Linked DNA regions of Bombyx mori. The protein of the gene in region 2 purifies or fractionates together with the protein of the main gene of each other region. This does not show direct contact. Links are inferred from orthologs where the notes say so. Each region holds a gene or a part of one and is shown on either strand. Other genes may lie near its edges.

Region 1 (3,660 bases), on a different chromosome or scaffold from region 2:
CTAATTTCTTTTCATTATGCCACAAAGATTTTGTGTCGTAAACTATCCTATTATGCCTTCTATACTTGTATGAAATAATATCAATATTTCACATCTGACAGCCTTCTGGCTTATTTTATTATGTACCAGATAGATTAACGAATGTTTTTAGTGTTTTCCTTACCACTTGCACAAAGAACACTGAAAATTTTCCCCTTTCAGAAAGTAGGTTTTAATTATTAATGCATTTACCCTAGCTTTTGGGAAATAAAAGTTGTATCGTTACATTTAGCTGTACTGACATGATGGAGCGTAAATAATCCTAATAAGACGTTTTAAAAATATGTTTTTTTTTTTAAATTAGTATCGGTTTTTTCCCCTCCCATCATCAAAGGTGTCATTAGTATTATCGTCTGTCTTCGTTTTCGGAAGCGATCTCCGAACACCCAGTATAATAGTGAAAGCTCAGTAACCGTGAATAAGCTCCATTTGCAAGACAAGCTCGCTGTCCAGGTACCGCTCGTACGTGCTGTGCCGCAGCCGCGCCCGCGCCGCCCGCTCCGCCGCGCTCGCCCTGCTGCGGACCGGGGGCCCGCTGCTCGACACGCTGCCCATCTACAGGGAACTCGATCAGGTATATCGCTCGTAATACTAATTTATAAATCAATCGTTCCGATAATTTATGGCGTATATTATAGTATAAAGTATGTCTATTATTCCTTATACTAATCTAAGTTGAACTATTTAATATTGAAATTATTTAACTTGAGGAAAGCTTAGTAAGTCTGATTATTTTTTTATTGATACCCACGTCATTAAAAAAAAAGCCTTTGACAAACAGATGAGAAAATTTCACTGTATTGCTTTATCTTCATCAGCTTATTACATTACACAATATAAATTATATGCTCTCAATGATATTACTGCCAATTTAGGTTTTGGGATGCAACCTTTCTTTGTTGAAATTATTTTGCGAGAGAAAGGGATCGACATATAAGTCTTATTCATTCAGTAAAATCTGACGATTTTGGTATATACATATTATATATTCAATTGAGCTTTGTATAAGCAATACGGGTTGTATTTGTATCAGATGTGATGCACGGCGCAATGCAATACAAACTCGACTGACGGGATGAACGACCTCATAGGATTCGCTTTTCATTGCGCGTTAACTAACCGCTATAGTCTCCCTGAACTGTATATGTCAAGGGCGCACGAACTATTTAAAGGCGAAAGGCTATTTAATTTAAGCGACATTTTTGCAACATTACAGAAGGGCCATTTAAAGATTAAAAATTAACAACTTAAATTTTATTTGCATAAAATGAAAAGGATATATTAATAGTTTTTTTTTTTAAGAATTGGCTCCAACGCCTTAGGCATTGATTTTGCTAATGTCACAGTATATACAAAAATGACAGGTGCTTAGAAGAAAAGAAAATTTAATTACAAATAAATATGATCAGTTTTTCCATACGCGAATCTCTGGTTTTAAGAACAGCACAAACAAATATGTTAGATTAACGAATTTAAAGATATATAAATAGTTAGGAATTACATACATTCTTAGTACCGCTGCCGGATGTGTGAGAGAAAGGGAAGACAGACAGACTGGCGGCGTAACGCGTTAGGTAACGAACCGCGGATTACCCTCTTATAAGAAGTTATCACTTCAATCGATAGCGTTTTGAACTATTCTCCTGATACAGTGATGTATATTTTACAGATCATAACGCGGAAATGCGGATGCGGTGTACAGAATGAACCGACACAACAACAGGAGGATGAGGCCGACACATTCACCGGACTTATAAAGCCCTACGCGCCGAATGATAATAAAAAACATGTATTGAGAATGGAACCATCGATCGACCATATGAAGGATAGCAAGAAAGAAACTAAATTAAGTGAAAACTATGTAACCGTGTCAGACGTTAGTGACGTTAATGAATTAAATGATAAAAGGAATGTAAAAGAAAAAGATGATAAAAAGATTGAATGGACTAAAACAGAGGACGTCGATGTTATCTCAAATAAGTCCGAAAGTGATTTGTGTCAGACTTGTAATGACAGTGATCCTTGTCCGAGTGAAGTGTCCAAAGTGTACAGTGATCTTAAGTACGATGTCAAGTGTGAGAACGAGACGGGTGGCAGTGTGGATCTTAGTTCGGCCATAGCTTTGATTAACAGGCAAGTTAATTTTGTTTTAATAGCGTCACGCGCTGGGGTTCGCGATAAATAACAATTCTACCGAAGCACAAATTAAAACTGTATAAAACACTTAACACCCACTTTAAAATTCTCAATGTATTTCATCCGCTTCGCTTCAGGTGATCCGTTCGCTGTTTCGATTCGATTAGATCCGATTACTGACTGAATTCGTGTCATCTCTGCAACGCTTTTATAGTCGATACGAAATCCCTAGGTTTGTCGACAACGTTCTGGGCAAGTCGAGAAGCTTCAGTGTGTGTTTCCTCTATCTGACAATAGATGGCGTTGTACCTCTCGAGCATACCAGATTTCACTGGTTCCTTTGATATTCGTTTCTGCTATTCGACGATAGATGGCTTTGCTTTCACTGGGGTTACAATAGTTACAGATTATAAACTAAAGGGATGGTATTAACTGTTTATCCGAGTCTATAGATACCACAACGTCAATTCTATGACCTGTCTCGAGATGTTAGGTCGAATTTCCGCAATTCTCCACTATTTAATGGATATTATTATACATGTAAACCTTCCTCTTCAATCTCTCTATCATTAAAAAAAACTGCATCAAAATCCGTTGCGTAGTTATAGGTTCATGATCCATGATGCCGTCCATCTGATGGTGAGTGGTTACCGTCGCTCATGGACGTCGCCAATGCCAGGGTCATGGCGAAGTCGAAGTTAATCTCACGACATAATAATATGATATCGTTTTCTACTTGCTAGATATCTTACGCACACTGTAACACATTACACAGTGTGCTTAGTGCGAAATTTTTAACCTTCTCGATAGCGTAAAAGTTAACTCTTAATTTGTATGAAGTTGGAACGTTTGCCTACGTTTGCCGCTAGGGGCGCTGTTCCAACTGCATACTTTGAGTTCACTTTTACGCGGTCGAGAACGTTAAAAAACTCGCTCTTAGCACAGTGCACAGTGATCTTCACTGTTCGCTTGGAATTTGTATAGCTTTTCTCGCTTTGCACTCTTCAACTCCTGCGTTGTCGCGCTCACTTGTGTGTCACATATGTATGCCCAACGCTACGTCCAATGCTATGTCCAACGCTACGTCCAATGCTATGCCCAACGCTACGGTCCGGAGCGTTGGCAAACTTTCGTGCTGTATGTCTCTATGTCTAAGTAATGTGTCAATCGTTCTCTGAACGTTCGTATGTTCATGAACTAGATGGCGTTACTTGTTCATGTCTAGTAGCGCTATTGGCCAAGAGATGGCTCTGGCTGTCATAAGGTATTAATACATAATTTATCACATTAGTATTATTGGAAAGACTATTATTATCATTTTAGTTCAAATTCATGTATTGGGGAAAAAATAATTAAAGTATGAATTTTTGTTATCAGGTACTGTGGAAAGCTCCCCTCCGACACGTTTACTAGGTTGGCCCCTCAGTGCTGGACGGACAAGGTTCGACTCCCTGGTCGGGACGGTGTCGAACGGGACGCATACAT
Region 2 (3,660 bases):
AGTTGAAATACCTGAAAAAAAAATTATTATTACTACTATTATACTATTTTAACGAATCTAGCTGTGGGATTGATATGATTTTAATAGACCTAGAAATATTTTTTTTTTTTGCGCATCGATAGCGGTTATTGCCTATCGTTTATGTACAAAGCAGTTATTGTCGCTTAGTCACGTTTGCCTGTCAAGCGTCGAATTATGTTTGAGTTGGCGGGGCGCGCGCGGACCCGTCGGCTTTAGGCGAAGTACATGACCTTCTTGACGTTCGAGAACTGTTTCTCCGCGATACAATCGACGGCGGAACGTTGGGAGTGAACGTTTGTGTTTCGTTAGATATGTCTCTATGAGTCGTCTGCGTTAGGCGAAGTACATGACCTTCTTGGTGACGGCGTGCACGGTGATGGCGCGCGCCATGGCGCCGGGCGTGCGGTCCTCGCTGCAGGCGGACTGGTGGCTGCCCTCGCCCGAGTCGTGCTCCTTCTCGACGAGGTGGTAGCGCGCGCGGAAGGCGACCAGGTGCGCGTAGTAGGCCGGCGCCGGGATGGACACGGAGCGCGTGCAGCGCACGTACGTGTGGCACAGCTGGTACGTGAGGCACTGCAGCTCGTCCGAACCGAAGTGGTTGTCGTCCCACAGCACGTGGTAGTGCGACGGCCGCGACGTACCCTGTCGGCGACACAACAACATCACTATGCCATCTAGTTACTTAGTATCAGTCAATTCAATACGCGCGCATTGCTGTTTAATCCTCAAACACAGCCCACCGAGTTTCTCGCCGGATCTTCTCAGTGGGTCGCGTTTCCAATCCGTTGGTAGATTCTGCGAAGCGCGGCTCTTACAACTATAAGTATAGTTACAACGGCTGTCCCAACCTTCAAACCGAAACGTATTACTGCTTCACGGTAGAAATAGGCAGGGTGGTGATACCCACCCGCGCGGACTCAGAAGAGGTCCTAGCATCAGTATACCAGATTAGAGAACGGCCGATTGAATCGTATTGGCACGTACCTGGATGCCCTGGTGACTGCACAGGTAGAAATCGAATTCGGTGGGATGCGTGATGCCGAGGTCGACCGTGGTCCCGGCCGGGATGTTCCCGGACTTGCCGGACTGCTCCTTCTTGTCGGCGCAGAACAGCCGCGTGTGATGTCGCTTCTGTACCACGATGAAAGTGATGCCCGGCTTGTACTCCGCTTCCAGCTGTAACCAATATGATATTATACGTGACTACTATTGAAACTATTCAGTAGCATAAAGTACGTTGTTACATTCTTTTGTACAGGTTACAATTATCCCGAATGTTATTATTTAGGTCATTGACCTTAATTAGCCACAGAGTCACGAGATCCGACTTCGATTGAATTGGTCGTATCTTATATGGTTTCCCGCGTGTATGACAATAATAACAAGATAAAACTCTTAGCTTTATCCTAATCTGGAAGATATAATTATAGGCGATTACTTTAAATAAACGATTCATAATAAAGAAACATCTTTATAGTTAAGCAATAATTAAAATTTGTCTCAAACACCAGGTACAAAAGTAACTTAGGCACTATCCAGATGACTATTACGAACAGAGTATTACGTATGAAATTATATTTACTAAACGGTTTGTTTTATGTAACCTCTGCATTAAAGTACATCAATTAATGTCTTGTTCTGAGGTAGCACCCAGCCTTCAAAACTTGTTTGGTAATACTGCACTTTTCACGACATAAATAAAATAACATATAAGTGATAATGATTGGGTTAAAATAATGAATAAACGTAAAGTCAATAAAATGATTAATAAAATAATAATGACCTTGATACAAGCCTCCCTCACAGCAGTCAGCTCATGCTGTAAGACGTGCAGGAACTGGCCTTCGGAGATGCCGTCGCGATACATGATGATCCGGTGGGGTTTGAATCCGCCGGTGCTCTTGTAAAACATGATGAGCAGCTCCTGGACCATGCTGCTCATTTCGTGAACTATCTCTTGCCTGTAAAAGGATTTTATTGAATATAATTTTTCGCGTAGATGGTCAAAGACCTCACGTATGACCTCACAGCTCGCTTTGTTCGTAAGCGATTCCCAGGGCTCAATTTAAAAACCTTCATTTAGGTTTTATTGCAGTGTGAAACTAGTAATGAAGAAAATCTGTATGGCTTGTTTTGCACCAATATAATTGGTAGGACGGTGGTACCTCCCGATTCGAACTGGAAAACACGCTCCACTAATCTACTTCTAAAGTACTAAATTTATTTTACGTTTTATAAATTTCTGAATAGACCTTATATGATGTATCTTTAAGGAAACTTGCTCTTGCGAATTAAGCAAAAAATTACTAATTAAACTATTTAACATTCTTAAACACTAAGTAAACGTTTTTTTCAGTTCAACAAATTCAAATCTAACAACAACAAAAGTGACATCCCAGATTTGTCCCTATTCTAACTCTAGTCTCTATTCCCGCCAATCTACTGTAGTTGGAACAACTCTACCGGCGAATAGGTAGGGAAATAATAATATACGACTACGTAATATGGAAGGGCTGGTTACCGGTGCTGCTGTACCCTGACGGTGGCGGCGTACCGCGACGGATGCGCGTCCATGGAGCCGACGACGGCCGCGATGGAAGGCTTCTTGTTGTCACCGGCGGGCGGGTGCGTCACGTCCACGCCCAGGAAGATCACGGGCTCGTTGAACACCTGCGCGACACAAACGACAGAATTAGACTGTTAAAAAGAACTAGTCCCCCCCCCCCCAATAGTCGAAATTCGACTATAATTAATAGAAATTATAAGTTTGAACATTATTAAGATTCTATTGTCAAGGACTATTAAAATTCTATAGTCACCGATTTCGCTAAGACTACACTTTATTTAGACAAATCTTAATAATGACAAACAATATTTATTCTATACTCAATTTGGCCACATACTATAAGCAATAAGAAAAGTTTGACAAAAAACAAAGAGTATGCATGCGTGTGCGTGTCAAATACACGGTAGTGCGCATAATGTTTTTTTATCGATTTAATAAATAAAAATGCATAATTAACAAAAATATTAACATTCTACACTCCTTCTCTATATTCTCTATAGGTGTGGGAAATTTCATACTCTTCCGTCTGCGCAATTTTCGTAAAGAGGGGTACAAAGTTTTTGCTTCACGTATTAATATATAGATAAACTATTACGGACCACTTCTATCTATCTCGCTCTAATAATGTTCTTCATGACGCATGTGATGAATGACATTATGACATATCCTTCAAACGATTTAAGAGGTAGCGTTAGGTTGCTGTCGATGCTGATGTCCATGAGCGACGGCTGCCGTACATCAGGGTAACAACATACACTAATTTGTTGGTTGCAACCGAACGCCACTAGATGTCGTTCTACACTTCCACATGCGTTCTAATAACAACTGTAGAAAAGTTTCACGGGTTGAACGAAGATCATAAGCCTTAGAAGTTGGATCGATGTAAATTAAAAATTGATCAACAATAATTGCCCTGATGTGTGTGTGAATGAATAAAAAATTTGGAATTGAAAATTTCAGCAATAGGTCAACAGCCTAATCGGCACGATCAATGTTGCATTCGATCAGCATAGAGGGTCGGCTGTTACACCAACGTATATTTTTATCGACTGTTACACCAACGTAGATTTTTA
Region 3 (3,660 bases), on a different chromosome or scaffold from region 2:
CTGTATGTTGATGCTGGCTCCACATATCAGTGTTGAGTCTACCCGAAATACCACCACGCAGATCATGACGAGGATCCACGGGCTGCTGCCGAGGGTCGGAGCCTCTGTGTGGATCCAATCTTGGATCTGCTCCTCTATGAGGTTCACCCCAAGCATTCCAATCATCTTTCTTTGGCATGCCCCATTGCTGAGAATGTTGTGGTGGACCAGCTGGCCACTGTTGTGGTGGTGGAGGCCCAGTCCACACATTAGCAGAATCAGAAACATCATCATCTTCTCCCCAGGTGCCACCAATATTAGTCGTCGGAGTATGACCCCAAGGTGTCTTAGAAGCGGGTTGTGGAGGTGGTTGTCCACCATTTCTCAAATTAGCTTCCCACAGATCAGTTCCAAGGAAAGCACCATTATTAACATTGGGTTTCCATGCAGGAGGTCCTCCTGCTGCTGTCGGTTCAACTTTTGCACCGGGTTCAGGTGAACCGGGGACATCCCAATTAGTGTCTTGATTAACATGTTGCTATTAAAACAGAAAAAATGAATTATATTATTATACTTATAATGGACATTTGTGATTTTTATTTTATTGTATTCTATACTTACACCTCCCCAACCGTCTTGACTAAATAATGCCTCTCTCATTGAATTTAACTGTTCAATTTTGGCTGATGAAGTGCTGTTGTTGTTACCATTGGTCCCATTGCCAGCAGCTGAACCATTCACACCCCCATTAGCATTATTAATTCCATTATTTCCATTAGTTGTATTATTTGTACCTGTGCAAAGATAACATATGTTAATTCTAGGGTCGGCAGACTAAAGCACATAAGTCAAAATTTTCAGTTTATTTTGTATTACATCATCGGTTTACATTTTGCTCAACACACAATCTGACTAAAGCACATAAATCAAACTCAAGTATTTCATGGCGTATTCAAGCGGCGTTCTGTATCAACCTTAAGAAATCCTAATATAATCAAACGAACTAAAAAACATAACTGGACTTATGTTCTAAGGAACACCATAAGTACAAAGTTATTAACGTAAGAAGTCTGACTTATGTTATAAAGAACATCAAAATGTAACATTTCTTTAGAGAAAGTGGTTACTTAAAAATATTTATAACGTAAACAATACTTCGGTAAGTGGTTTTAATTTACTAATGTTGTCGATTGTGCACAGTTTGTTGGTTAGTTGTGTTAGTTAGTTGTGTGTGAGTGCTTAAATATTTTAATTATTTAAGATGAATATTCAAAGATGCAAGAAATTAGTTGAAATGGCGTTATCCACTCATCTGGAAAGCAATGAAGGTATATTTTCACATATCTTCAAAATTATGATTTGCAAATTACGTAATTATATCAATATTATATCATTATAAATAGATGATTGTCTTGTCCTTTTTTAGAAAATGTAAATCAACAGTCGATTTTGAACTCAGAGAACCTAGTGGCAGACAATCCTATACCGTCGACATCATCAGGTCAAGTCAGTAGTTTAACATACCATCCTGTACTTGACTTCTCTAGTGATGATTTTGTACGAGATCCATGTTATGAATTACCGAGACTTTCAACCACATCAAGTTCAAGTACTTGTGATGAAATTTCAATTAATCTTAATGTGTCTCCAAAAAAGAGTATACGTACTATAAAAAGAGAAAAAAAATTAAAACGTAACTTAGGACAGGCATACAAAACATTAAAAGGAAAATGTATATCAGATCGCACTATGAAAGAGCTACCTGTTTGCAGAATGAAATGTAAAGAACGTATACCACTAACTGATAGGCATGCCATATTTACAGAATATTGGCAAATGGGGTCATATGCAAAAAGATCTGCATACATGGCGTCTTTAATGGAAATTAAAGATAAATCTACGCAAAGAATACGAGCTATTGAACCTGAAAAGCAAAAGCTTAGAATGAAGACATATAAATACTTTTTTACTGTGCATGGTAAACGTGAACCTGTCTGCCGAGGATGTTTAATGAAAACGTTAGATGAAAGTGACAATTTTATAAAGACAGTTGCTATGAAAAGGAGATCATCCATAGGGGGTACTCAAACTGATGACATGCGAGGGAAAACAATTCCTAAGCATAAGATATCAAACGAAAAACGCCTAGAAATTAAGACACATATCATGTCATTTCCATCATACGAAAGTCACTATACGAGAAAGTCTACATCAAAGAAGTATTTGCCATCTCACTTAACAATGCAAAAGATGTTTGAGTTATTTTGTCAAGATCGGAATAATCCACCTTCAATCAAAATCTATAGTCAGGAATTTCACAAATTAGGACTTTCATTTAAAAAACCGCGTGTCGATACTTGTTACACTTGTGACAAGTTTAAGATGCAGATACAGTTATGTCAAGAGGAATCTGTTAAAATAGATCTCATACTTCAACATGATAACCACAAAACGCTAGCTGATCAAGCCTATGAAATGAAACGAGCTGACACGCTAATGTGCAAGAATGATGACACGTTACAGGTGTACACATTTGATTTACAGCAGTGTTTGCCAACACCAGCTCTAAGTTCTTCTGTAGCCTTTTATAAACGGCAATTATGAACGTTCAATTTAACTGTCCACGACAACAAAACTGGTAAAGCTGTTTGCTATATGTGGCACGAGGCGGTAGCAGCTCGGGGAGCTAACCAAATCGCTTCTTGTATTTACAAGCACTTAGAAACATCCGTATCTGATAATACGAAACATATAATTTTTTACTCGGATACATGCGGTGGGCAAAATAGGAATTCCCATGTCAGTTGTATGTTTACTTGGGTATTGCAAAAACATCGAGCTATCAAAACAATTGACCACAAATTTATGATACCTGGCCATAGCCATTTAGAAGAAGATACCGATCATGGCATCATAGAAAAAAAAAAGAAGAAAACGGAATTACAGGTATTTCATCCACATGATTGGATACAGTTGATCCGGTCTAGCAGCAAAAAGTTTAAGGTTGTTGAAATGAAAAATACAGACTTTTATGACTTTTCATCCCTCCTCAAAAGTGCTTTAGTTTTAAGAAATAAAGATACCGATGGGCGGCAGTTTAAATGGCTGGAAAAAAGATGGCTACGCTATGAGCAAGAATTTGGCATTCTCACTTATAAAGACACCCTGAATATAGATTCGCCTTTTTCTACCTTTAACTATAAAAGAAGAGGGTCCAGTATTCCTGATCATATTCCTATAATATCTATACAGCCATTACCCATATCCATCGAGAAAAAAAATGATTTAATTTCGCTGCTCCCTTTAATACCGGATATTTTCCATGAATTTTACGTAAGTCTTCCCACGTTGGAAACTTTACGAAATACTGATCCAGATATTTTAGAACTCGATGAAGAAGTAGAATTTTAATTAAACATTGAGTTGTTATTTATATTTATGACTTATATTATTATAATATATATCTTAATTGTTGATCTTTTTCACTTAACTCATACTATTATTGTGTTCCTTATAACTTAAGTCATCTAAAGATTAAATAATCACATTTACTTTAAAATATTTAATTTTAATAATAAGTTAGTGTTATAGACTTATATAATTCAAATAAACATTATTAAGTTTGTTAATGTATAAGACTCTAAATAGTTTTTTTTAATTCCTGTAAAGTAGAGTTTTTTG

The links.
Region 1: the proteins of Ago1 (region 2) and endoribonuclease Dcr-1 purify together in Drosophila melanogaster (affinity purification with western blotting; 5 studies listed by BioGRID, with this or other methods). This does not show direct contact. The link is inferred for Bombyx mori from reciprocal best matches to the Drosophila melanogaster genes AGO1 and Dcr-1.
Region 3: the proteins of Ago1 (region 2) and protein Gawky purify together in Drosophila melanogaster (affinity purification with western blotting; 17 studies listed by BioGRID, with this or other methods). This does not show direct contact. The link is inferred for Bombyx mori from reciprocal best matches to the Drosophila melanogaster genes AGO1 and gw.

What each region holds. Positions count from the first base shown.
Region 1 is NC_085117.1:4,322,972-4,326,631, forward strand, and holds part of endoribonuclease Dcr-1, read left to right. Parts: intron 1-492; coding exon 493-613; intron 614-1,708; coding exon 1,709-2,172; intron 2,173-3,552; coding exon 3,553-3,660. UniProt on the Drosophila melanogaster protein: Endoribonuclease which functions in microRNA- (miRNA) gene silencing and, independently of its ribonuclease III activity, also acts in the short interfering RNA- (siRNA) gene silencing pathway.
Region 2 is NC_085111.1:12,337,805-12,341,464, forward strand, and holds the end of Ago1 (argonaute 1), read right to left. Parts: intron 2,692-3,660; coding exon 2,543-2,691; intron 1,983-2,542; coding exon 1,805-1,982; intron 1,198-1,804; coding exon 1,006-1,197; intron 664-1,005; coding exon 355-663; downstream 1-354.
Region 3 is NC_085123.1:4,236,961-4,240,620, reverse strand, and holds part of protein Gawky, read right to left. Parts: intron 774-3,660; coding exon 601-773; intron 518-600; coding exon 1-517. UniProt on the Drosophila melanogaster protein: Required for gene silencing mediated by micro-RNAs (miRNAs). Silences both polyadenylated and deadenylated mRNAs. Required for miRNA-mediated translational repression and mRNA decay. Not required for miRNA target recognition.